Linked DNA regions of Anolis sagrei. The protein of the gene in region 2 interacts with the protein of the main gene of each other region in a biochemical or structural test. Links are inferred from orthologs where the notes say so. Each region holds a gene or a part of one and is shown on either strand. Other genes may lie near its edges.

Region 1 (7,880 bases), on a different chromosome or scaffold from region 2:
ATAATAATAATAATAATAATAATAATAATAATAATAATTCCACACAGCTGAATAAAATCCCACATTTTCTGCTTTGAGCTGGAATATATGGCAGAGTGGACTCAGATAACCCAGTTCAAAGCGGATATTGTCGGATTTTTCTGCCTTGTTATTCTGTATGGAAGGGCCTGAGTCCACACTGCCATATAACCCGGCTCAAAGCAGATAGTGTGGGATTTTATACAGCCTTAGGTCCCTGAGTCCCCTTTGGGGAGATGGTGGCAGGGTATAAATAAAGATTATTATTATTATTGTAAGCCGCACCGAGTCCTTCGGGAGATGGTAGCGGGGTACAAATAAAGGTTTATTATTATTATTATTATTATTATTCCACATAGCTGAATAAAATCCCAAATTTTCTGTTTTGAACTGGAATATATGGCAGTGTGGACTCAGATAACCCAGTTCAAAGCAAATATTGTCGGATTTTTCTGCCTTATTATTCTGAGTTATATGGCTGTATGGAAGGGCCTGAGTCCACCCTGCCATATAACCCGGTTCAAAGCAGATAGTGTGGGATTTTATACAGCCTTAGGTCCCCGCGTCCCCTTTGGGGAGATGGTGGCAGGGTCTAAATAAAGATTATTATTATTATTATTATTAAAACATCAATTCATCCGGGTGCCCCCTGGGCATCGTCCTTGCAGACGGCCAATTCTCTCACACCAGAAGCGACTTGAAGTTTCTTAAGTCGCTCCTGACACGACAAAAATATTATTATTATTATTATTATTATTACTATTATTATTATTCTACACAGCTGACTAAAATCCCACATTTTCTGCTTTGAACTGGAATATAAGGCAGTGAAGGTTCAGATAACAGTTCAAAGCAGATACTGTGGGATTTTTCTGCCTTGATATTCTGGGTTATATGGCTGTGTGGAAGGGCCCAGAGTCCCCAAACACAAAACTGGAATGGATGTAAACTACAAAGAGCAGCTAGCCTCCTCTTCCTGCCTCCTGGAGACAACAAAAAGTAGGAAATCTTTATGTTTTATGTAATTTATCAAGTTATTGTGTATGTTTTGATTTTAGTTATTGCATTGTGTTGCTGGGCTTGGCATCATGTAAGCCGCCCCGAGTCCCCATTTGGGAGATGGAGGCATAAATAATAATAATACTTTATTTGTACCCCGCTACCATCTCCCCAAGGGACTCGGTGCGGCTTACATGAGGCCGAGCCCAAACACAACAATACAAGCAATAATAACAACAATACAAGCAATTAAAAACATATAGACAATAAGAGACACAACATTAAAGATTATTATTATTATTGAATCCCCTTGCTTCTCTGCTTCTATTGCTATTAAAAACGTTGGGGGAGGCCTAGTTTGACAGGAAAAACGAAATGCAAAGATACAAAATGGGGGACAATGCCTGGCTCGAGAGCAGTACGTGTGAAAAAGATCTCGGAGTCCTCGTGGACAACAAGTTAAACATGAGCCAACAATGTGATGTGGCGGCAAAAAAGACAAATGGGATTTTGGCCTGCATCAATAGGAGCATAGTGTCTAGATCCAGGGAAGTAATGCTACCCCTCTATTCCGCCTTGGTTAGACCACATCTGGAATATTGTGTCCAATTCTGGGCACCACAATTCAAGAGAGATATTGACAAGCTGGAATGTGTCCAGAGGAGGGCGACTAAAAGGATCATGGGTCTGGAGAACAAGCCCTATGAGGAGCGGCTTAAGGAGCTGGGCATGTTTAGCCTGAAGAAGAGAAGGCTGAGAGGAGATATGATAGCCATGTATAAATATGTGAGAGGAAGTCATAGGGAGGAGGAAGCAAGCTTGTTTTCTGCTTCCTTGGAGACTAGGACGCGGAAGAATGGCTTCAAACTACAAGAGAGGAGATTCCATCTGAACATGAGGAAGAACTTCCTGACTGTGAGAGCCGTTCAGCAGTGGAACTCTCTGCCCTGGAGCACGGTGGAGGCTCCTTCTTTGGAGGTTTTTAAACAGAGGCTGGATGGCCATTTGTCAGGGGTGATTTGAATGCAATATTCCTGCTTCTTGGCAGGGGGTTGGACTGGATGGCCCATGAGGTCTCTTCCAACTCTTTGATTCTAAAGAGAAGAAACCTGAGACGAACAAAACTTGACACCTTAAGTTATTTTCTCGCTTTTGGAGATGATTGACAGCCAAACACCCAACTTGTGCTGCGTGGCAGGGCAGCCAAAAGAAAAGAACGCAGAGGCAGAAAGAAACAGAAATTAGCAATAATAACAACAACATATTGATGAGCATCCATTCCAATACTGAAAAAAAAAAGTGGAGGCAGTTAACAGGCCCAGGACTGGCCAAGCAATGGAGGGCCCTTCCACAGAGACAACATCAAGGCTGGCCATCCCACAATATCTGCTTTGAACTGGGTTATCTGAGTCCACACTGCCATATAATCCAGTTCAAAGGTGATAATGTGGGATTTGATTCAGCTGGAAGGTGCTCATTTTATTCAGATGCTCCCCTATCAGCAAAGCAGGCCTTCCAATCCTTCAAGAACACACAGAATTTGATAGGGGAGGAGTAATTATGGTGTAATTATGTTAAATGAGGGGAAGGTGTCCAGGAAGGCCTCAGAAGGCCACCTTTCCCTTTAAGAGACCCCCTTCTTTCTCCTCACACTCTCCCTTCACTTCCCTCTGAAGGAGAGAGACGAAGAAGAAGGGCGAAACCATGTCTAAAAAGGAGGGGGGGCTGAGGAGGGAGAAACCATATACAAAATGGAGGGGGGGGCTCGAAAGACCAGTACTCTCCCCCTCACTGAGGGTGCTTGCCCCCCCCCCCCAAAGCTTGAATTGGGGTCGTGGGGAGCAGGGGCCTCACTCACCGCCTGCGCAGCTCCTCGGGGGTCAGCGGGGCGGCCCGGGCGGGCATCTCGGCAGGAAGGAAGGAAGGAAGGCGGCGGGCAGGGAGCCGGAGGGCGGCCGAGAGCGGTTTCGCGCGCACCGGGGAGGAGGGGGAGGAGGGAGGGGCGGGGCCGGAGCTGGAATGAACCATCCGGCATTAGGCCCGGGGGGGGGGAGGCAAGAGGAGGTCTCTACTTCGGGCCTTCTCAATGCATGGAGTGGGGGAGACCAAGTAGACAACGGAGGGGGTGCTTGTTTGTATTGATGTGCCTTTATCGAGGTTTGGTGACTCCATACATTTCTTAGGGCTTTCATACTTCATCACACACTAGAGAGAATGAATCCACTTTCAATCTGGTTTCTGCCTCCTGCAGGATTCTGGGGTTTGTAGTTTAGGGATGCTGTTCTAGGCTCCTCCCTAAACTACAAACCCCAGAATTCTGCAGGAGGCAGCAACCGGGATTAAAGTGGATTCATTCTCTAGTGTGATGAGGTCCTTATAGAAAAGTCAGAGGTCGCTTTGATCATTTACAAAATGCAGACCATAACTCTGTAGCTCTGTGCATGGCAGTGAGAGAAGTGCGCGTGTGTATATATGTAATGACTGTATATATAGAGGGGGACCAGTCACCAGCCATCCCCTCTCCAATGCCAGAGATACAACTTAATAGTGTAACATTAGAAAATGTTGACCATTTCCGCTACCTTGGCAGTCACCTTTCCACCAAAGTCAACATCGACACCGAAATACAACACCGCCTGAGCTCTGCAAGTGCAGCATTTTCCAGAATGAAGCAGAGAGTGTTTGAGGACCGGGACATCCGTAGGGAGACCAAGGTGCTTGTCTATAAAGTTATTGTCCTCCCAACCCTGCTATATGCCTGCGAAACGTGGACAGTCTACAGACGTCACATGCAACTCCTGGAACGATTCCATCAGCGCTGCCTCCGGAAAATCCTGCAAATCTCTTGGGAAGACAAGCGGACAAATGTCAGCGTGCTGGAAGAAGCAAAGACCACCAGCATTGAAGCGATGGTCCTCTGCCATCAACTCCGCTGGACCAGCCACGTTGTCCGGATGCCCGACCACCGTCTCCCAAAGCAGTTGCTCTACTCCGAACTCAAGAACGGAAAACGGAATGTTGGAGGACAGGAAAAGAGATTTAAAGATGGGCTCAAAGCCAACCTTAAAAACTCTGGCATAGACACTGAGAACTGGGAAGCCCTGGACCTTGAGTGCTTCACTTGGAGCTCAGCTGTGACCAGCAGTGCTGCAGAATTTGAAGAGGCACAAATGGAGGGTGAAAGAGAGAAACGTGCCAAGAGGAAGATGTGCCAAGCCAACCCCGACTGGGACCGCCTTCCACCTGGAAACTGATGCCCTCACTGGGGGAGAAGATGCAGGTCAAGAATAGGGTTCCACAGTCACCTACGGACCCACCACCAGTACACCAAACTTGGAGGACCATCATAGAATCAAAGAGTTGGAAGATACCTCATGGGCCATCCAGTCCAACCCCCTGCCAAGAAGCAGGAATATTGTATTCAAATCACCCCTGACAGATGGCCAGCCTTTGTTTAAAAGCTTCCAAAGAAGGAGCCTCCACCACACTCTGGGGCAGAGAGTTCCACTGCTGAACGGCTCTCACAGTCAGGAAGTTCTTCCTCATGTTCAGATGGAATCTCCTCTCTTGTAGTTTGAAGCCATTGTTTCATGTCCTAGTCTCCAGGGAAGCAGAAAACAAGCTTGCTCCCTCCCCCCTGTGGCTTCCTCTCACATATTTATTGTTGTTCATTCGTTCAGTCATCTCCGACTCTTTGTGACCTCATGGACCAGCCCACGCCAGAGCTCCCTGTCAGCCGTCACCACCCCCAGCTCCTTCAAGGTCAGTCCAGTCACTTCAAGGATGCCGTCCATCCATCTTGCCCTTGGTCGGCCCCTCTTCCTTTTTCCTTCCACTTTCCCCAGCATAATTGTCTTCTCTAGGCTTTGCTGTCTCCTCATGATGTGGCCAAAGTACTTCAACTTTGTCTCTAGTATCCTTCCTTCCAGTGAGCAGCCGGGCTTTATTTCCTGGAGGATGGACTGGTTGGATCTTCTCGCAGTCCAAGGCACTCTCAGAACTTTCCTCCAACACCACAGTTCAAAAGCATCTATCTTCCTTTGCTCAGCCTTCCCTAAGGTCCAGCTCTCACATCCGTAGGTTACTACAGGGAATACCATGGCTTTGACTAGGCGGATCTTTGTTGCCAGTGTGATGTCTCTACTCTTTACTATTTTATCAAGACTGGACATTGCTCTCCTCCCAAGAAGTAAGCGTCTTCTGATTTCCTGGCCGCAGTCTGCATCTGCAGTAATCTTTGCACCTAGAAATACAAAGTCTGTCACGGCCTCCACATTTTCTCCCTCTATTTTCCAGTTGTCAATCATTCTTGTTGCCATAATCTTGGTTTTTTTGATGTTTAGCTGCAACCCAGCTTTTGCGCTTTCTTCTTTCACCTTGATTAGAAGGTTCCTCAGCTCCTCTTCGCTTTCGGCCATCAGAGTGGTGTCATCTGCATATCTGAGGTTGGGATGTTTATATATCATCCTCGGACTACGAGGGATCGCCTAAGAAGAGATGTGTGTGTGTGTAATGACTGTATCTATATATATATATATAGAGTGTATGTATATGTATGTATGTATATATACTGTATATATCAAATGTCTATGTGTTTTTATAGTGTGTAGATATGTGTATGTATATATATACATACATACATACGTAATATGTAGGCATAAGTGTGTTTATATACTGTGTGCATATATGTTAGTGTGTAGATATGTATCTGTATGTGCTTTTATATACATACTATGTGCATATATGTGTAAGTGCATGTCCATCTATGTGTGTATATGTGTTATGTCTCTTCTGTAATCTGTAAGTAAACTTTATTACGGTTGGTGACCAGATCATAACGGGGGGACCCAGTCCCGCACATCCACGTCAAACCCAAGGGGTTATATGCTTCAAACTTCAACAAATTTAAAAATCTAGGCTAAAAACCACATAACCCACAAATTTTAAAATCTAGGCTAAAAACCACATAACCCAACTCAACCCACAAGATCATTCGAAGGCAGTCTAAAAGGATGTAGTGGGGATGGTACCCGGGGGGGGGGGGGGGGATGATATCCAACACTATAAGTATCATTCTATATCCAATTTCCCATCTATAGTTATTATAGATCAAAATGTACTCCTTACAGACCAAATGACCTCCTAACCTCCTCAAAACCCATCTCTCTCTTGCATTTCCTAACATGGCCATTGGCGACTGTTGAAAAGCATAAATGGCAGAGGATTACCTGTCTATACCCTCTACCCAGATGCACAGTGATGATGGTGTCATGCCCGGGGACCTCCAGAAGACTCTTGAGATATTCTTCAAGATTCTTTGTCACTATGTGTTGTGTCCAGCTATCAGAACACAGCTGGATGCTCCTGCATCATCCCCTGGGCTCCATAGGTCACTAAGTAGCAATGGTGAGAAGGAAGCAAGAAGGAACATCCCATGGGAGATCATTCTTCCTGGGTAGAACTTTACAGGCTCCATAGAAGATTGTTGTAGTAATAATAATATTTATGTATTTATAGCCTGCCCTGTCTCTCCGAAGGGACTCAAGACAGCTTATAAGAAAATAAAACACAGTTACATTCAATGCCAAAGGTACATATAAACAAACCATTAAATATTATAAAATCAGTAAAAATTATAGGTGATTCTATGATTCTGTCTCCTTTGAAGTGGATTGTATGGCAGTGTAAAGGTAAGATAAAGGTTTTCCCCTGACATGAAGTCCAATCATGTCCGACTGGGGTGTGGTGCTCATCTCCATTTCTAAGCCTAAGAGCTGGCATTGTCTGTAGACACCCCCAAGGTCATGTGGCTGGCATGACTGCATGGAGCGCTGTTACCTTCCCGCTGGAGTGGTACCTATTGATCTACTCACATTTGCATGTTTTTGAACTGCTAGGTTGGCAGAAGCTGGGGTTGACAATGGAAGCTCACACCGCTCCCTGGATTCGAACCTGTGCCCTTTCGTTCAATAGGCTCAGAAGCTAGATGCTTTAACCCACTGCGCCACCGGGGGCTCAAAAAAATGATAAAATCAGTAAAAATTATAAAAGCAACTTAAATAACACACTCCACACAATTATAGCATATTAAACATTTTATCAATATCATTGAACCCTTGGTGATTCCAACAGATGCAGTTTTAATGTCCGTAGATGTAACATCATTGTACACCAGTATTCCAATAGAGGAGGCGCGATTCATATGTGAATAAACTTTAAACAGGAGACCTAATTGTCACCCACCCACTTTCTTTTTGTTGGATCTTCTTGACATGATGCTTGAAAAAAATATTTAAAATTTGACCAAGAATATTATTTCCATGTACAAGGAGTAGCCATGGGCAGCCCAGTTGCGCCGTCTATAGCAAATTTATTTATGGACAATTTGGAAAAGGACATAATACTGAATCACACACGTAACCCTGTAGCAAACAGCATAATCAAATATTGTAGATTTATTGATGACATTTTTATGATTGTAAATTCACACCAGGAGGCAGTAACTTTATTATCTTGGATTAATACCATTCATTCCAATATCAAATTTACAGGGAACATTAGCTCCACATCCCTGATTTTCCAAGATGTTCTGGTCAAAAAAGAAAATGACAGATTGAGAGTGAAAAACCACCACAAAACCACTGATAGAAACTCTTTGTTACATTACAACAGTTACCACCATTGGGCCTTAAAAACAATTTACCCTATACACAGATGCTCAGGATTCAACATAACTCCTTGACTCAACAAGACTTCGATGATGAGATCAAAGTAACGAAACACCAGTTCAGAAACCGAGGATATCCAGAAAACATAATACAATATATGAACCCACACGTTCCCTTCGATCATCTGGAGAGGCC
Region 2 (7,976 bases):
AATAATAATAATAATAATAATAATAATGGATCCATAAGGATATAGGTGGCCTGTAAAGCCTCATCATGCTGCCATTTCTCCCCAAACCCGGTATTTAAAATAAAGGGGGATCTGTGTGCCAAGTTTGGTCCATATCCAAGGCTGATGGGGTTTGCAGTAGTCTCTGAAAGTGGATGAAGGGGCTGCAAATCTCATCACCTGTGGTCCACTCTACCCAAACTTCTCCAGGATGTAAAGTGGGTCTTGGGGGGGGGGGGCTGTGTGCACATATGTACATACATGTGTACCCACAAACATTTTATATAGATAGATAGAAGAAATAGAAAAGATACGAGTCCAGAGACCGGATAACCATCTGTCAGGGGTACTTTGATTATGCTTCTTCTGCATGAAGGTAGAAGGGTGCTGGACTGGATGGCCTTTGGGCTCCCCCACACCACCACCACCAACTCTAGGAGTCTATTATTATTAAGCAGAGACTGGATGGCCATCTGATAGGAGAGCTCTGATTGCAATTTTCCTGCATGAAGGCAGAACTGGGTGGCTCTTGGAGGCCTCTTCCAGACGATAGGAAAGTCTAGAAGGCTGGAACGCCATCTGAGGGTGTTTTGATGGTGCTTTTCCTGCATGAAGGAAGAAGAGGACTGGACAGAATGGCCCTTAAGACCTCTTCCATCTCTATTATCATTATTATTATTAAAGTGGGATGGCCTTGTATTGGGAGGGCTTTGGTTGTGCTTTTCCTGCCTCGCAGAAGGGAGTTGACCCATGCAGTCTATTCAGGAGGGCTTTTCCAGCACGAAGGCAGAAGGGGGTAGGACTAGACTCTTAAGGTCTCCACCCATTATTATTATTGAGGTTAGATAGCCATGTCAGGTGGGCCGATTGTAGTTTTCCTATGTGATAGCAGAATAAAGGAGGGTAGGACTGGATGGCCATCTGTAGGATGGCCAACTCTAGGATCCTATTATTATTATTGAGCAGAGACTGGATGGCCATCTGCCGGGGAGTGCTTTGGCTGTGCTTTTCTTGCATGAAGGCAAGAGAGTGGACAGAATAGCCTTTGGGGGTCCCTCCGAATCCTAGGATTCTATTATTATTAAGCAGAGACTGGATGGCCATCTGTTGGGGGAGCTTTGATGGTGCCTTTCTAGGAGGAAGGCAGAAGGGGGCTGGGCTAGATGGCTTTTAGGGGCCCCTCCCAACTGTATGAAAAGAAAGGCGCTCTCATCAGTGGGGCTCCCACCAACAAGCGCCTGGATACTTACTTGGCGTCTCAAAGACCAAAACAAGTGTGTCCGCATTGTCTTCTGCTCGCAGGGTGATGATGTCATCATTCCCCGCACACTTGAGAACTTTGGACATGCTAGGAATGAGAGAAGAGACAAGGTTGACTCTCCTTCCCGTAACATTGGCAGGTTCATTCTTAATAACATCAATGTTTAACATAATATAATAGATGTAAGGATACAAAACAAATAACATATAGAAATATAACAAGTACAAAATATCGCTATTAAGAGTCAACTTTTTACCTTGGAGGCTTTAAAGCAGGGGTCCTCAAACTAAGGCCCGGGGGCCGGATGCGGCCCTCCAAAGTCATTTACCCGGCCCTCGCTCAGGGTCAACCTAAGTCTGGATCAACTTGAAAGCTGACAACAGCAATCCTATCTCATCAGCCAAAAGCAGGCCCACACTTCCCATTGAAATATTAATAAGTTTATATTTGTTAAAATTGTTCTTCATTTTAATTATTATATTGTTTAAAGAGGTGTTTTGTTTTTGGTTTTTTTTGCACTACAAATAAGATATGTGCAGTGTGCATAGGAATTCATTTTTTTTTTCAAATTGTAATCCGGCCCTCCAACAGTTTGATGGACTGTGACCTGGCCCTCTGTTTAAAATGTTTGAGGACCCCTGCTTTAAAGTTTGTGGGCCTGATTAGTACCTATGTTCTCTGTAGGCTTTATTGTTTTATTCAAGCCATTTTGAGTCTCCTTAAAAAACTCTAAAATTACTACAGCAAAACAGCAGAAAGGAAACAACCAGGCACATCTTAACACCTCCCAACAGAACATTTTCCCAGGCTCAGCCAGGCCTTCAAATGCTAATGAAGGTGGTCAGTTGAAACATTCACACCTAGCTCCAGCAGAGAAAAGCTCTTTGCCCCACCCCAGTCATTCCACAGATATATAAACCCATTGTCCTAATTCCAACAGACCTCACTACCACTGAGGATGCCTGCCATAGATGCAGGCGAAACGTCAGGAGAGAATGCCTCTAGAACATGGCCCTATAGCCCGAAAAACCTACAAGAACCTAGGATACACAGCTGCTTTGAGTCTCTTTTGTGGAGAGAAAAAGCGGACAATATATAAGCATAAGCATCATAATAATAAATCATTTTTTATATTTGGTGGATTGACATGAAAAGGGCTTCCTCTCCCTTGAAAAACGCGCCAATTCCCTTAGACACGCCCATACAAAAAGGAGTCCACCAATCGGGTGGAAGCAGGGGTGATGACGGCTTCCAAAGGAGCCAATCCGCTCTCAGGGGTCACTAGAGAGAAGCCACGCCCCCTCGTTCCCTCTCAGCGCTTCCCGCCAAAAGGGCGGCGAAATGGCGCGCGTGACGTCATCGCGGCGGGAAAAGGCAAACATGGCGCTTCTGGCCCTTCTTTCCTTCTTTGGCTTAGGTACCGACCTGCCCAGGTTGACTCCCATGGCGATGTTGCGGTCGCAGCGGTAGGTGTCGAAGCCCTCGGAGCGCATGGTGAGCTGGACGAGGGAGACGTGGGAGGAGTCCATGCTCTGGAGGCTGATGCCGCCGGAGCCCAGGTCCCAGCACGCCTCGGTGATCAGGTCCTTCAGCGCCTCCAGCACCTTCTTCAGCAGCGAGCCCTGCACCAGCCGCGCCTCGAACATCCTGCCGGCCTCAAAGACACCACACAGCTAGGCCGCGATGTTCTCCCTTCGGGGTCACGAGCGCTTCTGAGGGCTGCTGCGCGCACGAAGGGCCCTTTTATACTGCCCCGCCCCCTCCTCGTGAAGGCTCCGCCCCCTCCTCATGAAAGCCCCGCCCCCTCCTCATGGAGGCCAATCAACAGCGATGGATAAGTTATTCCCTCCGTCCCGCCCACTCGCTGTGAGCCAATCAAGGAGCGCAGTGAGCGTGTCTCCACCCATTCCCCCCTTTAAAGCAAAGGCCCCGCCCACTCCTTGTGGGGACCAATCCACAGCACTGAAAGAGGTGGGCGTGTCCCCATTCCAGAGACCCTCCGCCCCTCTCACTCTTCTCGCACTAATCAATAGGCGTGTCTTCAGCCCTTCCCGCGCGCAGCCGGGACCGACTGCGCATGTGCATCCCCCTCTTTAGCTAAAAGGCGCCACAGTGGAACGACGCATGCGCAGCAGGGAATATTTTTCTTCCTGCGAAGGAGCCTTTCGCTGAGTATTCCCGCCTGACGTCATAGATAGCGCAACCACTTAGATTCTTGGGTTCTCTCGGAATTGTCCAATCACATTCACGGGGAGGTTCTCAACCCGGAAGCTTGACTAGTGCAACCCAGTCTTGCCTGGGCTTGTTTCTTCAGGGAGAGGCTGGGCCCAAATCTATGCTCCATTGTACCCGCGTTATATGATGAGTGTAGACTCATAGTACACTTATATAATGCAGTCCAGAGTTTGGAAAAGTTACTTTTTAGCGAGAACTAAGCCTTCACAGGTGGCGGGGCCTGCTGGAGGATGATGGGCTTTGTAGTCCGTGGTTTTCTTTAGTTTTACTTATTTATTTACTAGCTATCCCCTGCCACGCATTGCTGTGGCCCAGTCTGGTGATCTGGAAAATAAAGTAACGAGAAAGTGTTGATATCGAACTAGAATTTGGAGGCTCCCACCCAGGAGCCTCCAAAGAAGGCGAGAAGTACTCTGGCGAGCGAAAAGAGCCAAAGAATTTTTCCCTGAATTTTCCCAAATAAATCTCACCAAAGCTGAAGAAAAGCCACCGAGTTGTATTTATTTCATCCAGCTGGTACAGATGTCAAACCGCAATCGTTCGTCAGGAGAGACATACATGCAATTAGTACATTTTTATAGAAAAACATGGAGCCCCCAGTGGTACAGTGGGTTAAACCCCTGTGCTGGCAGGACTGAAGACCGACAGGTCGCAGGTTTGAATCCGGGGAGAGGCGGATGAGCTCCCTCTATCAGCTCCAGCTTCTCATGCGGGTGATGCAGAGCATCTTTCCCCCCCAAGTATTTGTAGTTCACCAAGGGCCGGACTATGGATTCTGCTGCTTCCTGACCCAGCACACATAACTGGGTTCCTGCTTCCTCTCTGTGAATTCTCTGGCTTGTGCACTGGACCCTGGCCCCTGATCAGGGAAATGCAGTTCCCCAAAGGACATTGCCCCACTCTCCACCATTTGCGGACTCTTTGTGGACCTTTTTCTGCCCTTTCTCATTGACTTGGTGCCCTGGCATCACGGGCTTCCTCCTGAACTCCAAAAGCCAAGCCGCTTCTGAAGAATGGCCCCCGCCTGTGGGTGCATGCCCTTGTTGCAAAGGATCATACCTCAGGAACTCTGCTGATTGCCTTTATTAAATTGCTGTGGGTTTTCTAATAAACTTTGCTGGGATGGGAGGGGATGGGGACCCTTTTTATGAAATCTATGAGTTATGAAAGACTGTAAAGAATATATGTATGAAGTGTGTGTAATACGGAATGTAAAGGAATGAGGTGCACCCTCACCCCTTTCCTTGCCTTTCCCCTCTTGAACTTTACCCTATAAAGGAATATGTGACCAGGGGATTACAGTTAAGGAAATCCAATTTCCTTGGAAGGAACTCCATTCATATTGACATTGCATGGAAAATACTGGCAAATCTATGGCTTTGTTTTTCAGAGTTCAGACAAACAAAAGCCAGAGATTTTGTCAGCCAAAAGCCCGGAAAAACAGACTGATTACACCAATTGTGGTGTTTGTGCATGCTCCCTTGTGACAAAGGATCTCTTTGCCCGCAAGGTTGAAGATCCAGACACCACCCACCGCCACCCTCTTTTCCCTATACACATCTTTTATCGGGGCCCAGGAAATCCCTTGTCTCCCCTTCCGCCTCCCTGCCGTGCGAAGAACAAAAGGTGTTCCATCAGCTGGCGGACGCCTCCAGGCGATCCGCCCCTCTGCGCTGTCAAGATACGTCCCGCCTCCTGGCCGCTGATTGGACAATCTCCAGAGGCGCTCCAAGGGCTCTGATTGGCCCCCCGGAAGCAACAGCGGCCGGCGATTGGAGGGGAGGCGGGACCAGCGGCCAAGCCTCCTCCCAGCTGTTCTGGAGCCGGCCAATCAGGACAGAGGGAACTGACAGGAGGCGGGCGGGGGATTCAAACCAGGATTTCTTTGTTCTGACTGTATAAAAATGCCTGAAAATCACTGTGCTGTATGCTTACTTGAGGAAATATCCCTGTAATGCATCCTTTTCAGCTGAATCGCTAAATAAACGCTTCGGTCGCTGGGTACCTCTTCAGCCTCTGGCGAGATTAATTCTTAATATTGTGCGCTTTGGATTGGCTTCTGCTGGCAGCTCGCCAAGGTCAAGACCCCATTAGAGGTCTCCAGGGTTCCCCCTCGCTGGGAGAACCCTCCAAAAAGGAGCTCGATATCATTTGGCTTTACCACGAAGGGACTGCTGCTTGAGGTTCCAGACTAAATTATAGCCTAAATTCTCAAGCAGGCGCCTTGGTCTGATTCTTTGGGCCAGCAGCGAAGGAGGAACGGCTTGGGAAAAGAGGCGCCTCTCCCAATTCGGACTTTCATTTGACCAGCTAACCAAAACTACAAATTCTCCCGCAGCCACTTCCTCCCAAGCTCTGACCTAGGGTTTCAGCACAAAGGAGCGCCAGGGAAGCCTTGATCTAAGGACTTCCAGGAAGAGGAGCGACCGACGCGGAACGGGGGGAAGAAAACGTCCGGACGGGTAAGAAGCCAACCGCGGGCTGCCTTGGCTGCCAGGTGGGAGGGGATTCTAGGCTTTCTGAACCAGCTTCGGAGTCGGCCCACTGGGGAGGGATTCTCTAGGTCTCGGTAACAAATTCCTGGCGGGAGGTAGCGAACATCCACGTTTGAGGCCCAGAATAGCAACTCAGCTCGCTTTTGCGGCCTTGGCTGGAGCTACGCTGGAGAGGGAGCCCTTCCCTTTCGGACTGCCTAGCTGCCAAGGGCTGATCGCCTCGGGCTCTCTTGCTAGGGGACCGTTCAGGCTCTAGCCTGCCAGCGGTTGGGGGGGCTACCCTGATTAGCCACTTCAGTGTGGGGCTATCAAGAGAGATGGGCGCATGTTATTATGGGATCAAACGTCCTGCTTCATCAGAAACATCTTTTGGGAAGATACTGGCGGAATGGGGCAGGGTTGCGTCGCCGACGCAGGCCAGTAGGGTAAAAATCGCATGGAGAGGTGGCCCTCCGGGCCCTCAGCAGGTGGAGTTTCGTGGCCCCTCATGGCAGTCGGATCGCTGTGAGGGGGCCAAGAGGGCCGAAACCGCCTTTGCCTCATGCTTTTTACCATGTGCCGGTGGGAGGCGGAAGGGGGGTAGCTGCGACCAACTCCGACCATGCAAGGGGAAGGTTACAGAGCCCCAACCCCCAGGAAACCCCCTCCAGACCCCTTCACCCTCTCCCTTTGGAAGAAATTGCTTATTCCCCTACCATCCCATTCCCATTTCCCTTTACCCAATCTCCCTGACTCCCTCCTTCCCTTCCCAACCCCTCCATTTCCCTATTCCCTATTATGAAATGTCTGCATTCATATGCCCCCCCTAATTTTTTTCCCCCTGTTCCTTGAGGAAATGCGCTAGGGAAATTCTTTGCTCTCCTCCTCTCCTGCTTTCTCCTGTGCCACCTTTTTTCCTTCCTTCAGATGGGAAAAGGAGGCATTGCTCATTCCCTTCTCCACCAAGCTACTACAAAATCCCTTTCTTTCTCAAGCTGAATCTTCAGTGCCTGTTTATTTATAATAAACAGTGTTTCTCCTCGCCAGGAGAGACCCTGCCACTGATGTGACTCAGCTGCCTTGCAAAAGTCTCTCTCTCTCTCCTGGTCTCCCTGACCCAAGAGCTCTCTTTTTCTCCCCTTCTCTTCTGTGCAACTACAAAACCCATTTTTCAGGGGCAGTCACCAATGTCCCTGCCTTATCCTTTGTTCTCTCTTTACTCCCCAACTTCCCTTTTTTCTCCCAAAACCCCTCCTCCCTTTCTCCTCTTGCAAAGGGAGGTGTAAGAGGGGACCTTTTCTGTTCCTGTTTCCTCTTGCCAAATAAAGTTTTCTGGGTCTCTTTCTCTCTCTCTCTCTCTCTCTCTCTCTCTCTCTCTCTCTCTCCCTGCCTTTTTTCCCTTTTTTCTCTAAGGACCGGACCTCATCAAAGAGTTCCATGTGCTTGTGAAATGTCTCTGAAACCCATCCTCTCTCTCTCTCTCTCTTCCCTCCCCTCCCATCTTCTAAGGAACCAGTGTTCTGTGAATTCTTTCCTCCATCTCCCAGAGGAATCCTGCTGCTCCCTCTTACCTCCTTCTCCAAAAAAAACCTAAGGAAGGGATGTTCCAGAAGCATTCCCTCCTGACATTTCACCCACATCTATGGTTAAATCTCTCTCTCACACACACGCAGTCCCTCTGATGCTCTTTTTCTTCCTGGCCCTTCCTCCCTCCCCTTTCCCTGAGCGCATGTATGTGTATGTCTAAATTATCCCATTAACTGCCTTAAATATGAAGGGGGCGTCGAGGTCCAGGGGTCCCCTCTGCGCAGTGAAGAGCAACTGGTCGAACTGTGGGACCCATAATCCACTCCTGCCGCTGAGGACAACTACCTGGGCAAGGTGAGCAAGGGAGGTCTGTGGACTTTCCTGTGTGGAACCCAGATGGCACGGGAGAATCACACAGAGAGCAGGACCAGACCCCATGCCGCCCAGAAGAGACAGCCCCC
Region 3 (7,634 bases), on a different chromosome or scaffold from region 2:
AAGCAGAGCAATGGAATACCACGTCTGAAGCTATGGAATACCTTTATTATCTGCAGTCTCTTCTAATGCAAAGTTGTCTGGGAATCCTTCAACATAGGTAGTGGCCAATTGTTCTGCTTCAATAGATTGTCCCTTCATCTTTTGAAGCCTTTCATGTACAGCACTAGTTAAGTCCATATAGGCCTCATCAATGCTGGCTCGCTCAATCACAGCAAAGCGAGACATGACTTCCATCACTTCCACGCTTGCCTCTCGGTACCTATATCAGATAGGCACAAAATGATCCTTTAATATTCCTGTTGCACATTCTCTTACAATTGGATTATTATTAAGCAGTCAACCACTAGAAAATGAGATATATATGTGTGTGTGTGTGTGTGTGTTAGAGCTTCAATACTCTCCAAAACGACAGCACTTTCCCCTCATCAACTGCCAAGTATACTAAGATAATGAATAAGGATTGAATAAACTAGAATAAGTCCAATACACTATTTAAAAGAACACACTGGGAGATAAATTTTTGAATCCTAGGATATTGCTCAGTTAAAGCCAGACAACATGCATTATATCCTAGTTATGAATAACAGCTAAACATGCTTCGTAAAAACCACCTCATACTCAGAGCACGAAAGAGCAGCATTGATCAACTTCCTTCTCAAACTAGTTTTTACTCCAGATTATTTCACAATCCACATCAGATTTATTTATATTTATCGTGTCAGAAATGAACTGAGAATATAGTTATAATGTATAAAAAAACCCACAAAGTTAAAAACTTAGCATTATACTAAATTTCCTTTGACCAGAAGCTGGGCACTTCCAGTGACTCAGGTGTCACTTTAAGAAGGTCCTCCACTGTGCATGTAGCAGGCTCAGACTGACTGAATTGTAGTAAGTGGCCTGTGTTTGCTCTTCTCCACGCTCGCATGGCAATGCACTCCACTTAGTAGCCCCATTTCTTAAGACTGGCTTTGCATCTCATGGTGCCAGAGCGCAAGTCTGTTCAGTGTCTTCCAAGTCGCCCAATCTTCTGTCTGCACAGGAGGAAGTTTCTCATTTGGTCAGCCACTGATTGAGGTTCTGGGTTTTTACCTGTGACTTTTGTACTCTTGCTTGCTGAGGTGTTACTGCAAGTACCTCTATAAATCTTAGGAAGCTATTTCTTGATTTAAGGCTTGGCATGCTGGCTGATATCCGAACAGAGAATGGGCCAGAGATGTCATTGCCTTGGTCCTTTCATTACAGGCTGCTACCTAAGTTAATACCATCCAAGAGAAGCTATAACAACTAGACTTACCTGGTGAGGTCTGCTTTACCATGGGCCTCTGGCACTCGAGCCACCAGGAGATCTGGGCACAGCTTCTTGGCATCAACAGCCCACATGTTCCTGGTAACTCCAAAAGCACGTGCTTCATAGCTCACAGCAATTATTCTGAATTTGACACAGAAAGAAAAGGGGATGCAGCAACTACTGGGTTTTATGCCCTCCCACACTGCCACCCCCTTTCCTTGTGTATCAGTATTAGACTGTCAGCCTAAGGGCTGAGTACTGTCAAACAAATGCCCCATGAGGAGCTTCTGGGGGAAGTGAAGCCTGGATAAATGAAGGTTACTCCAGAATACAGGAGCAGAATTCAAAACGATCTTAACAGATTAGAGAGATGGGCCAAAACTAACAAAATGAAGCTCAACAAGATACAAGATACTCCACTTAGGAAGAAAAAATGAAATGCAATGATACAGAATGGGGGACGCGTGGCTTGAGAGCAGTACGTTGACAAGAAATGTTGACAAGCTGGAATGTGTTCAGAGGACGACGACTAAAATGATCAGGGGTCTGGAGAACAAGCCCTATGAGGAGTGGCTTAAAGAGCTGGGTATGTTTAGCCTGAAGAAGAGAAGGCTGAGAGGAGACATGACGGCCATGTATAAATATATAAGGGAAGTCATAGGGAGAAGGGAGCAAACTAGGACGTGGAACAATGGCTTCAAACTACAAGAAACTACCTTAACATGAGGAATAACTTCCTGTGAGAGTTGTCCAACTGTGGAACTCCCTGCCGTGAAGTGTGGTGGAGGCTCTTGTTTTGGGAGCTTTTAAACTGAGGCTGGATGGCCATCTGTCAGGGGTGCTTCGGATGTAATTTTCCTGCTTCTTGGCAGGGGGTTGGACTGGATGGCCCATGAAGTCTCTTCCAACTCTAGGATTCTATGATGTTGTTGTTCATTCGTTCAGTCGTCTCCGACGCTTCGTGACCTCATGGACCAGCCCACACCAGAGCTCCCTGTCGGCCGTCACCACCCCCAGCTCCTTCAAGGTCAGTCCAGTCACTTCAAGGATGCCATCCATCCATCTTGCCCTTGGATTCTATGATAGTCGTGTTTAAATATGTGAAAAGGATACCCTATTGGAGATTGGTTTCCACTGCTCCAGAGACTAAGGGTGTATCTGCTATGGATTCTTATGAGTTTTTGATGAAAATACGTTCAAAGCAGTCTTGACAGATGGCCATTCAATCTCTGCTTATAAACCTCCAGAGGACACTCCACCAAACTCAGAGGCAGCATATTCCACTGCCAAACAGCTCCTACCTAGGAGCTTTAAATTAGGCATGGGCCGACTTGGGCCCTCCCTCCAGGTGTTTTGGACTTCAACTTCCACAATTCCTAACAGCCGGTAGGCTGTTAGGAATTGTGGGAGTTGAAGTCCAAAACACCTGGAGGGAGGGCCCAAGTCGGCCCATGCCTGCTCCCATTGCCCAAGGGAGCCGAGGCACGTACCCGCCGCCCTTCCAGGTCTTGTACTGGGCCACGACGCAGGGCTTCCCGCGCAGACTGGGCTGCAGGCGCTGCTCCACTTGGATGTAGAAGCAATCCATGTCGGCCAGCGCCACCACCCGCTCCCGCCCGCGAGACATCCTCAGGAAAAGATTCAGAAAGTTCCTTCAGTGAGTGGAATTCCCGCCTTCTTTCTCCTCAGAGGCGGAAGGGAGGGAAGAAAAGGAAGTGACGCAACGCGCAGGTTGCAGCGTGGCTCCGCACGCTCTTGGAACGCAAGGAGAGAAACGGATCAAGGCGTCGCTGCAATGCCTGCTGGGAAATGGAGTCTTGAAGGGACATGTCAGGGTTCCACCACGCTGTAGTCGAGGAACTGTGATGACGTCATATTGGTTTCTTTCGTGACGCAGATATTCTTCGCCAAACTGTCTACATACAACATAAACATAGGAAAGTGGGAAGAAGACAAGCGATTCTTGCTGATTCTACAACGAAGAAGCAATGCAGTCTTTAACTCCCGGGGCTTAATGCTTTAGACTCGTGGGAGCTATAGTTTCCCAAGAGAGATCTGGATTCCAAAGGATTGGACCATGGGAAGGTCTTTGCACACAGCCATATAGCCCAAAATATCACGGCAGATAATCCACAATATTGGTTTGGACTGGATTATCTGAGTCCACACTGCAATATAATCCAATTCAATGTGGATTTTATACAGCTGTGTGGAAGATGTCGGAGTTCAAGTCATATCAAACTCTATTAATTCCACAGTGTAGGTTTATTTATTATTTATTTATTTACAACATTTCTATGCCGCCCTTTTCACCCGAAGGGGACTCAGGGTGGCTTACAAGTTATTTTATTTATTTATTTAGAGTTTTTATAACCCGGTCTTCTCAACCTCCGAGGAGGGACTCAGGCCGGCTAACAACATAAGATTCAATACAATAAGAAAAAACAGTATACATCATCAATATAAAATACATTAAAATACAATTCATACAATTCGTACAAGTTACAAAAAAGTTAGTTCGTCACAGTGAATCACAAATTCATCGCCATCCACCAGAAAGGTCAGCAGTTATTGACTCAGTCATCATTCTGCAAATGCATTATCCCAAAGCCATGTTTTTACCAGCTTTCTAAAAGTCAGGAGGGAAAAGGCAGATTTAATCTCCATCGGGAGGGAGTTCCAGAGCCGAGGGGCCACCACCGAAAAGGCCCTGTCCCTCGTTCCCACCAAACATGATTGCGAAGGAGGTGGGACCGAGAGCAGGGCCCCTCCAGAAGATCTTAACAACCTTGATGGTTCATAGGGGAGAAGCCATTCGGACAGATAAATAGGGCCGGAGCTGTTTAGGGATTAATATATGTACATACAATATATTATTAGCATCACACAATATTAGTATTATATATTACTATATTACACTATACCACTATACTGTAATATTAGTAACATTACATGTAATATGGAATATAAAATTATTAAATTGTATTATTAATAGTATTATATTGTATTACATTATACTATCAATATTATATGAGTATAAAATATTTATTTATTATTTATTAAAAACATTTATATTCCGCCCTTCTCACGCCAAAGGGGACTCAGGGCAGAGCACGACATATACACAGCAAATATTCAATGCTAGGACACAAATTCACATACAATACAATACAATGCTTAATAATCCAATTGTAAGAGAATATGCAATGGGAATATTAAAGGATCATTTTGTGCCTATCTGATATAGGTACCGAGAGGCAAGCGTGAAGGGAGTTCCATAGCCGGGGAGCAATCACCGAAAAGACCCTGTCTCTCGTCCCCACCAATCGTGCCTGTGACAATGGCGGGACGGAAAGCAGGGCCTCCCTGGAGGATCTTAATCTCCATGATGGTTCATAGGTTCATATATGATATTATTAGCACAGCACAATATTAGTATTATATATTACTATATTGTATTATACCACTGTACTATAATAATATTATTAGTAATATTATATGTAATATCTATATATATATAAATGCTCTGTGCATAATGAGTACCTTAAAAATAAAAGAACCAATGAACGAAATCACACCAAATTTGGCAACAAAATGTCTCACAACACAAGGAGTGACCATCACTCAAAAATTATAATTTTGTCATTTGGGAGTTGTAGTTGCTGGGATTTATAGTTCACCTATAATCAAAGAGCATTCTGAACTCCACCAACGATGGAATTGAACCAAACTTGGCACACAGGACTCCCCTGACCAACAGAAAACACTAGAAGGGTTGGTGGGCATTGGCCTTGGGTTTTGGAGTTGGAGGTCACCTACATCTTGAGAGCACTGTGGACTCAAACAATGATGGATCTGGACCAAACTTGGCACGAATACTGAAGACGCCCAAATATAAACACAGATAGAGTTTGGGGGAAATAGACCTTGACATTTGGGAGTTGTAGTTACTGGGATTTATAGTTCCCCTACAATCAAGGAGCATTCTGAACCCCACCAACGACAGAATTGGGGCAAACTTCCCACACAGAATCCTCATGACCAACAGAAAATACTGTTTTCTGGTGGTCTTTGGTGACCTTTATGACACCCCCTTGGTGACCCCCCTCCGGGGTCTTGATTTCCCAGGTTGAGAAATGCTGCCTTAAGGCCATCCATTCCAACTCCCTTCACCAGGGCAAGAAAACATAATCATAGCTCTCCTGACAAAGGGCCATCCAGCCATTCCCACACACACACACATATGTATATGACAGATGCAGTATCATAGATTTGAAAGGGACCCCTAAAGAAGGACAATGATATGTTGCATATTCCAGAGTTGGCAAACCAGACAATCTCCACATCAACACTGACAAAGAAACAGGAAGAAATACTGTTTACCCACAAGCAGAACGACATTACATATATTATAAACCAACACTTTCTCGTTACTTTATTTTCCAGATCAACAGACTGGGCCACAGCAACGCGTGGCAGGGGACCGCTAGTAAAATATATAATTATTATATTGTATTATTATTAGATGTAGTTGTATAGTGGAATAGTGGTATCCACGCTTTGACTTTGGCCTTGAAACCCCGTGGAGCTATTGCCACGACCTCTCTCTGGTGGTCGCAACTTGTAACTGCAGCTCTTTGCTCCAAATTTCTGACCGCATTCCAAAGGCCGCCTCCAGTCCAAAATAATGTAGACAGGACCCGGAAGCTCCGTGTCATCAACGGAGTGAGGCATTCTACTGGGCTAATTCTACGTTTCTAACTCAGAGCCGTCCAAGTTGTGGACGGTGCTTTGCGCAGGCTCAGTGGAGACAGTTTGGCTGCTGGCGCCTGCGCAGTGCTGCCTTTGGGCTTGTGTACCCGGCGCGGTGTGGCTCTCGGGTTCTCCCCCCCTGTGCCTGGTTGCCCGGGGCAACGGGGCCTACTTTCTCCTTCTTCTTGCCTCCCCCCGGATAGAGCCCCTCTCCTCGCCGCCATGTCTTGGGACCCCGTGAACACCCTCTGCGAGCAGCTGGTGAAGGCGGTCACGGTGATGATGGACCCGGCCTCCACGCAGCGGTACCGCCTGGAGGCCCTCAAGGTAGGGAAGGCCATCGAGATGCAGCAGATCTCCTCGCAGCTGCCTCCAGGCCCAAATAGTTCCCGTATCCCCGGCGCGAGTTCGAGCCCGCCCCGCAGGCCTCCAAGTGTCGGGTCGCCCCGTCCGTCCCCACGCCACCTTCACGTGTCCGCCTGGTTGAGTTTGCTGCAAGCTTGTTTGAGGGCTTCTGCAAGGGAGAAGGCGCCCCTCTTGCTTTGAAGGGACCCGGGGCCCGTCTGCACTGTGGGATGAATGCAGTTTGGCACCGAAATTCGTCAGCAGTTTCTTTTACCAGCTTCCACTTTTATTATGGCTTCTATTTTGTCTCCAGACTTGGATACAAGTCTGGTCAATGTTTATATATGATTTATATTAATTGTATTGTATTTTTTGTTTTTGTTTATTGCTTTTTGTTTTATTGATGTGTTGTTGGGCTTGGCCTCATGTAAGCTGCTCCGAGTCCCTTGGGGAGATGGTGGCGGGGTATAAATAAAGTATTATTATTATTATTATTATTATTTGTGATTTTTAGAAATAATGCTTTGAAGTAGCATATTTATATATATTTGTTGTGTGAGAAGCAAATTGAGAATGCAGGTATAATGTATTTAAAGCCACAAAGATTAAAACTTGGAATTATACTAAATTTCCTTTGGCCAGTATCTGGCCACTTGGAGTGCCTCTGGTGTTGCTGTGAGAAGGTACTCCACTGTGCATGTGGCAGGGCTCAGGCTGCATGGTAGTAAGTGGTAGTAAGTGGCCTGTGGTTTTATTCTTCTCCACACTCGCATGTCGAGGACTCCACTTTCTATCCCCAGCATCTCGTGGTGCCAGAGTACATCCTGTTCTGTGCCTTCGAAGTCGTCCAGTCTTCTGCATGTGCAGGAGGAAGTTTCTGGTGATAGTATGATAACTGAGTCCCTGTGCCACGAGCGTTACGCTGTTTCTGGAACGCTGCTTCGAGTACGCAGATTGCGTGGGACAATACCACTGAAGTAATTTAACGTAGGGGAGGGACACAGATAACAGTGAATGAATGTATCAGTTCTTTAATGAGAAATGGTAAACAACAGTTTGGGAAACGGTTTGGGAAAACCATTAACGGGATAGCAATCAGCTATCTGCCCCAAAATATTATTAAACTCTTCAATATTGTTTCCCGCCCACATCCAGGCTGTCTATAAACTTGAGGGTGTTCACCACAAATTCAACATTCCTGCCAAAAACTCATGGCCAGCTCCGTTGTCCGAAAGTGCACAATAAA
Region 4 (7,043 bases), on a different chromosome or scaffold from region 2:
GCTGGGATTTCTGGGAGTTGAAATCCAAATCACAACCAAAGGTTGGGAACCACTAGTTTAGCCGGTATTGCACCACTGGACATCTGTCGGAAAGTATCAGCTAGTAATGAAAGGACCAAGGCATTGACATTTCCGGCCCAGCATGCTATTGGTTTAAATAAAAAAACAGCCTCCTGAGATCGAGAAAGATACTCACAGGAACACCTCAGCAAGCGAGAGTGCAAAAGTGGCAGACTAAAACCCGGAACCTCAATCAGTGGCTGATACCAAATGAGAGACTCCCTCCTGGGCACATAGAAGAGAAGATGACCTGGAAGGTGCTGAACAGATAGCTCTCTAATACCACGAGATGCAGAGATAACCTTAAGAAATGGGGCTACAAAATGGAGTCCACAACATACAAGTTTGGAAAAGAGCAAACCACAGACTACCTACAATGGACGACCTTCTCATGGCAATACCAGAGGTACTCCAAGTGGCCGGCTTCTGGTCAAAGGACATTTAGTGTAATGCCAAGTTTTTTTTAACCTTGTTTGTCTTTTTAGATGCATTTTAATTGTATCCTCAACTTGCTTCTGACATGATAAATAAATAATATGGTAGGACTGATTTAGTCTAACACAATTTGTCTTGCTTTTGACTTGGATCCAAGCCAGTACCTGTCATCAGTAATAGACTGGATGAGGATGAAGAAATTGAAACTTAATCCAGGTAAGATCAAGGCAGTCGTGGTCAGTCAAAAGGCAGACTGATGAGAATACGAATTCAGCCAATGTTGGATGTGGTTACAGTCCCTTCTGAACATGAAGGTTCACATTTGCTAGGGTGCAGGGCATAAGACCCAGGTGAATGTGAAAATGTGTGCCCCAAACTCCAGCAAAAGTAGATATGACCATACGTATCACAGATTTCCATAGCATATGCCATTGTAGCTGAAGTGGCAACAAACTGGATTGATTCTACACCAGGCATGGGCCAACATGTGACGATCATGCCATCACCACTCAAGCAGGGAGCTTTGAAATGGTTGAACAGAAGCTCTCAGAAGCTTTAGGTGCTCTTACTGCCTATTACAGGAAAAACAACTGATTCCTAATCCATCTAAAATGCAAATGTGTGCTTTTTATCTTAAGAACAGACAAGCATCTCAAGCCAGCACTGGATGGGGATACAGTCCCTTTTGAAGATGCAGGTTCACATTTGCTAGGTGCAAGTCATAAGACCCAGGTGAATGTGAAAACCTGTGTCCCAAACCCAGCACAAGTAGATCCCTGACAGTACACATCACAGACTTCCAAAGCATGAGCCATGGTAGTTGAAGTGGCATCAAACTGGATTGATTCTACATCAGGCATGGGCCAACATGTGACGATCATGCCATCACCACTCAAGCAGGGAGCTTTGAAATGGTTGAACAGAAGTTCTCCAAAGCTTTAGGTGCTCTTACTGCCTATTACAGGAAAAACAGCCGATTCCTAATCCATCTAAAATCCAGATGTGTGCTTTTCATTTTAAGAACAGGCAAGCATCTTGAGCTCGGAGCATTGCTGCACATGCAAACACCTGGGAGTCACTCTGGACTGTGCTCTGCAGGTTCACATTTGCTAGGGTGTGGGGCATAAGACCTAGGTGAATGTGAAAAACTGCCCCAAACCCCAGCAAAAGTAGATCCCTGGCCGTACACATCACAGACTCCCATAGCATAAGCCAGTGTTTCTCAACCTGGGGGTCGGTACCCCTGGGGGGGTCGTGAGGGGGTGTCAGAGGGGTCACCAAAGGCCACCAAAAAACACAGTATTTTCTGTTGGTCATGGGGTTTCTGTGTGAGAAATTTGGCCCAATTCTATCATTTGTGCGGTTCAGAATGCTCTTTGATTGTAGGTGAACTATAAATCGCAGCAACCACAACTCCCAAATGTCAAGGCCTATTTTCCCCTCAGACTCCACCAGTGTTCACATTTGGGTATATTAAGTATCCATGCCAAGTTTGGTCCAGATCCATGACTGAGTCAACGGTGCTCTCTGGATGTAAGTAAACTACAACTCCAAAACTCAAGGTCACTCCCCCCCAAACCCTTCCAGTATTTTCTGTTGGTCATGGGAGTTCTGTGTGCCAAGTTAGGTTCAATTCTATAGTTGGTGGAGTTCAGAATGCTCTTTGATTGTAGGTGAACTATAAATCCTGCCAACTACAACTCCCAAATGACAAAATCAATCCCCTCTCAACCCCACCAGTATTCAAATTTGGGCATGTTGGAAATTTGTGCCAAATTTGGTCTAGTGAATGAAAATACATCCTGAGTATCTGATATTTACATTACAATTCATAACAGTAGCAAAATTACAGCAATGAAGTAGCAATGAAAATAATTTTTTGATTGGGGGTCAACACAACATGAGAAACTGTATTGAGGGGGTGACAGCTTTAGGAAGGTTGAGAATCACTGGCATAAGCCCTGGCAGTTCAAGTGGCATCAAACTGGCTTGATTCTACACCAGGCCTGGGCAAACTTTGGTCTTCCCTCCAGATGTTTTGGACTTCAACTCCCACAATTCCTAAATTGTGGGTGTTGAAGTCCAAAGCACCTGGAGGGAAGGCCAAAGTTTGCGCAGGCCTGTTCCAGGTGTAAAGGGAAGCTAGTTGCAACACAAAGGGAAGCTTGTTGCCAGTCAGCCAAACAAACGCAGGCGCCTCCTGTGCGCTCTTTCCGTGCCTTCCTGCCTCGGTTCCCACGAGCCTTTCACTCCCAAATCCTCCTCCCAGGCTGCTAAAAGGAGTCGAGGGTCTTTACAGGCAGGGGGAGGATTCCTCGCAGCACCGGAGGGAGAGTCTGGGCGCAACCATGCCGCTTCTTCCTCCTCCTCTTCCTCGTCCTCCATTTCGGGCACCAAACACCGCCTCTCTTCGCCTGCCCTGGTCTTGGCCAATGGCGAGGTCAGCTTCCCTGGAAGGAGGAGCGACGGACCAAGTGAAGACCGTTCAGGCAGGCCCTTCTCCGCCCAGGCCATGACGCGTGTCACGGGCGTCTCGTGTGAATGAGAATGTGCCCTTTCTTTAGGTGCACTCTGACATCACTTAAAACGCCCTGGATCCATGCGATGGAGTCCTGGGAGTTGTAGTTTGGTGAGGCACCAGCCCTCTTTGGCATAGGAGGCTAAAGACCTTGTAAAACTACAACTCCCATGGCTTTATATCCAGGCATGACCCAACTTGGTCCCTCCAGGTGTTTTGGACTTCAACTCCCACCATTCCTAACAGCCGGTAGGCTGTTAGGAATGGTGGGAGTTGAAGTCCAAAACACCTGGAGGGCCCAAGTTGGCCCCCATGCCTGATCTGCGAGGGTTGAATGAAAAGTAATGCCTCCACCTTCATAGCTCCTCAACAGATGGCAGTACTGGTATGCGGCAGGTACTGGCTTGCTCAGTAAACTCTCCTCTACAGTTCCATTTTAGTGGGAAGCCTTAGCATTGAACAGTTGTGTTGTTAAAGGTGAACTATGGAACCCTGCGCAGACTTAAGCAACGTGCAGTCATTGAATTCTTGACAGCAGAAGGTGTCACTCCAAAAGAAATTCATTGGAGAATGCAAGCTGTGTATGGTGATTATGTTGATGTGAGTACTGTGCATCGTTGGGCGAGTAAGTTTAAAGATGTTGAGGTGGGAACATCTGACTTGCATGACAAACAAAGAGTTAGACGTCCTGTGACAGAAACCACCAAGTTTCACAAGCAAAAGGTTGACAGATTGATTCAGGACGATCCTCGTATCACTCAGAAATGTATTATTTATTTATTTATTTATTTAGCAGTTTTGTATACCAGTCTTCTCACCTCCATCGAGGGACTCAGGCTGGTTTCCAACATCAATATTACAAACAATCATTAAAAACATCGTATTCTAGATTACACTAAGACATTAAAAACAAAATACAAACATATAATGACAATGGTCAGTCGTCATCATAAAATCATCCACCCATATCACAGAACTTGACTCATTCTTCGAATGCCAGTTTCCAGAGCCAAGTTTTCACCTGTTTTCTGAACGTCAAGATAGAGGGGGCCGTTCTGATCTCCAGTGAAAGGGGGTTCCAGAGTCGAGGGGCCACCACCGAGAAGGCCCTGTCCCTCGTCCCCACCAGACGTGCTTGTGAGGCCGGTGGAACCGAGAGCAGGGCCCCTCCAGACGATCTTAGCAATCTTGATGGTTCATAGGGGAGGATACGTTCGGACAGGTAAACTGGGCCGGAGTCGTTTAGGGCTTTATAGGTTAACACCAGCACTTTGAATTGTGCCCAGAAGCTAACTGGCAGCCAGTGGAGCTGGCGCAACAGAGGAGTAGTATGCTCCCCGTACCCCGCTCTTGTTAGCAGCGTTGGACTAGTTGAAGCTTCCGGGCAGTCTTCAAAGGCAACCCCACGTAGAGAGCGTTGCAGTAATCTAAACGGGATGTAACCAAAGCATGGTGGAGGCATTACTTTTCATTCAACCCTCGTATAGCATTGAGAGCCATAACAGTTGAAATGTGTTAATTCTACAATAAAAATGCTCCCATTAGTATAAAAACAGAAATAATCTGGAGAGACAGGAAATCTTTTCGGAAGAGAATTTTTAGTGCGAAATGGATGGAATGTTTCCCCTCCGTCAGAGTATCTGGCATTTGTACTCATAGGCCTAACATCCTGTTAGCGACATGCACATTGCGCAGACATAAATTACATTTCACACGTAATTCATGCCTGCCTATGTCACCGCTGGAGCACAGAACCTCATTGTTGCAACAACTGGGCTGGTTGCCATTGCGTCTCCAAACAATTGAAACTCTGGCGATGACCTTTAAAGCCTTCTATGGCCGGGATCTGGGCTGTGTCTCATTTTCTGTGTTCCTTGGGACTTAAGAGATCTTAGCCATTTCTTTTCTGGTCTAGTAAATGGAATTTCTGCTATTTGATTGTATGTGGCACTTGAAGAAGACAGTTGAAATACATACAGTAGACTCTTAGTCAGCCGTCACCCATGGGGATTGGGAGATGCTAGATCAGTGGGTCTCAACCTTCTGAATGCCACAACCTCTTAATACAGTTCTTCATGTTGTGTTGACCCCCAACCATAAAATTAATTGGTACTTCATAACTCTAATTTTGCTACTGTTATGAATCGTAATGTAAATATCTAGTATTCAGGATGTATTTTCATTCACTGGACTAAATTTGGCAAAAATACCCAATACGCCCAAATTTGAATACTGGTGGAGTTTGGGGGAAGATTGATTTTGTCATTTGGGAGTTGCAGTTGCTGGGATTTGTAGTTCACCTACAATCAAAGAGTGTTCTAAACTCCATCAACGATGGAATTGAACAAAACTTGGCACACAGAGCTCCCATGACCGACAGAAAATACTGGAAGTGTTTGGTAGGCATTGAACTTGAATTTTGGAGTTGTAGTTCACCTACATCCAGAGAGCACTGTGACTCAAACAATGATGGATCTGGACCAAACCTGGCATGAATACTCAGTATGGCGAAATGTGAACACTGGTGCATTTGGGGGAAAATAGACCTAGATATTTGGGAGTTGTAGTTGCTGGGATTTATAGTTCACCTACAATCAAAGAGTGTTCTAAACTCCATCAACGATGGAATTGAACAAAACTTGGCACACAGAGCTCCCATGACCGACAGAAAATACTGGAAGTGTTTGGTGGACATTGAACTTGAATTTTGGAGTTGTAGTTCACCTACATCCAGAGAGCACTGTGGACTCAAACAATGATGTATCTGGACTAAACCTGGCATGAATACTCAGTATGTCGAAATGTGAACACTGGTGCATTTGGGGGAAGATAGACATTTGGGAGTTGTAGTTGCTGGGATTTATAGTTCACCTAAAATCAAAGAGCATTCTGAACCTCACCAACGATAAAATTGGGCCAGACTTCCCACACAGAACCCCCATGACCAACAGAAAATACTGTGTTTTCCGATGGTCTTTGGCACCCCCGCTGACACCCCCCTCGTGACCCCCACCCAGGGGTCCCGACCCCCAGGTTGAGAAACACTGTGCTAGATAGATGTAGTTTCTAGTTCCTTGTGAGTTACTATTAAAAATAGATGTACCATACCATATTATAAACTCTGTATTGACTTGATATTGATACTGAAATACAGTATTTAAAAGCAAATTAAGAAAAATAGAGATAAAGATTAATATACTGTTTTACTATATTATAAAAATGGCATTTTTATTAAATGTTGTTATTTCTTTGATAGGAGCCCCCGATGGCGCAGTGGGTTAAATCCCTGTGCCGGCAGGACTGAAGACCGACAGGTCGCAGGTTCGAATCTGGGAAGAGGCAGAAGAGCTCCCTCTATCAGCTCCAGCTCCTCATGTGGGGACATGAGAGAAGCCTCCCACAAGGATGATAAAAACATCAAATCATCCAGGCGTCTCCTGGGCAACGTCCTTGCAGACGGCCAATTCTCTAACACCAGAAGCGACTTGCAGTTTCTCAAGTCGCTCCTGACATGACAAAAAAAATTCTTTGATGTTTTTGCCTGTTGCTTGAGAGTTCTGGTTGATTGTTTTCTGGTTAACTGAGAGTCTAGAGCAATTAGTCCAAAAATACATTGGTCTTTTGGAAAATAAATGTAAAGAAGATTATCTATGGATGTAGCTGGATGAGCTGAAATCATAAACTGAAATAATAAACTCCCATGTTTAAAATAAAGCATGATGTGTTGTATGTTTCCTGAGTCATATTTTTAATTAATTCAACAAGATTTTGCTGCCTGGTGTGCATGTTGAAACTTGTTAGCAAATGTTTGGGCATCTCCTCCAACTGCTACATTCCAGTTTAAGGGATGCAACCTCTATCACATTGTACCAGTAGTTAAGTCACATGTAGCTCACCAATGTTGTTGGAGTTGTCTCCATTAGCAAACAAGAGTAGATAATGAAGGATAATGGGAATTGCAGTCCAACTATATCTGCATTGCAAGTACACGTCGTCTATCCTTGCTTTAGGACCGTAACAAGGGAGATTA

The links.
Region 1: the proteins of PCNA (region 2) and DNMT1 form a complex in vitro, tested with the Homo sapiens proteins (3 studies listed by BioGRID, with this or other methods). The link is inferred for Anolis sagrei from reciprocal best matches to the Homo sapiens genes PCNA and DNMT1.
Region 3: the proteins of PCNA (region 2) and POLH form a complex in vitro, tested with the Homo sapiens proteins (7 studies listed by BioGRID). The link is inferred for Anolis sagrei from reciprocal best matches to the Homo sapiens genes PCNA and POLH.
Region 4: the proteins of PCNA (region 2) and POLI form a complex in vitro, tested with the Homo sapiens proteins (4 studies listed by BioGRID, with this or other methods). The link is inferred for Anolis sagrei from reciprocal best matches to the Homo sapiens genes PCNA and POLI.

Annotation. Positions count from the first base shown.
Region 1 is NC_090022.1:172,052,331-172,060,210, reverse strand, and holds the start of DNMT1 (DNA (cytosine-5)-methyltransferase 1), read right to left. Parts: upstream 3,014-7,880; 5' UTR 2,923-3,013; coding exon 2,876-2,922; intron 1-2,875. UniProt on the Homo sapiens protein: Methylates CpG residues. Preferentially methylates hemimethylated DNA. Associates with DNA replication sites in S phase maintaining the methylation pattern in the newly synthesized strand, that is essential for epigenetic inheritance.
Region 2 is NC_090027.1:20,002,334-20,010,309, forward strand, and holds the start of PCNA (proliferating cell nuclear antigen), read right to left. Parts: upstream 3,010-7,976; 5' UTR 2,926-3,009; coding exon 2,705-2,925; intron 1,367-2,704; coding exon 1,269-1,366; intron 1-1,268. UniProt on the Homo sapiens protein: Auxiliary protein of DNA polymerase delta and epsilon, is involved in the control of eukaryotic DNA replication by increasing the polymerase's processibility during elongation of the leading strand.
Region 3 is NC_090021.1:49,690,863-49,698,496, forward strand, and holds the start of POLH (DNA polymerase eta), read right to left. Parts: upstream 3,011-7,634; 5' UTR 2,919-3,010; coding exon 2,782-2,918; intron 1,433-2,781; coding exon 1,298-1,432; intron 260-1,297; coding exon 42-259; intron 1-41. Other genes in the region: XPO5 (exportin-5), read left to right, coding at 6,266-6,370. UniProt on the Homo sapiens protein: DNA polymerase specifically involved in the DNA repair by translesion synthesis (TLS). Due to low processivity on both damaged and normal DNA, cooperates with the heterotetrameric (REV3L, REV7, POLD2 and POLD3) POLZ complex for complete bypass of DNA lesions.
Region 4 is NC_090022.1:284,994,450-285,001,492, forward strand, and holds the start of POLI (DNA polymerase iota), read right to left. Parts: upstream 3,018-7,043; 5' UTR 3,010-3,017; coding exon 2,793-3,009; intron 1-2,792. UniProt on the Homo sapiens protein: Error-prone DNA polymerase specifically involved in DNA repair. Plays an important role in translesion synthesis, where the normal high-fidelity DNA polymerases cannot proceed and DNA synthesis stalls. Favors Hoogsteen base-pairing in the active site.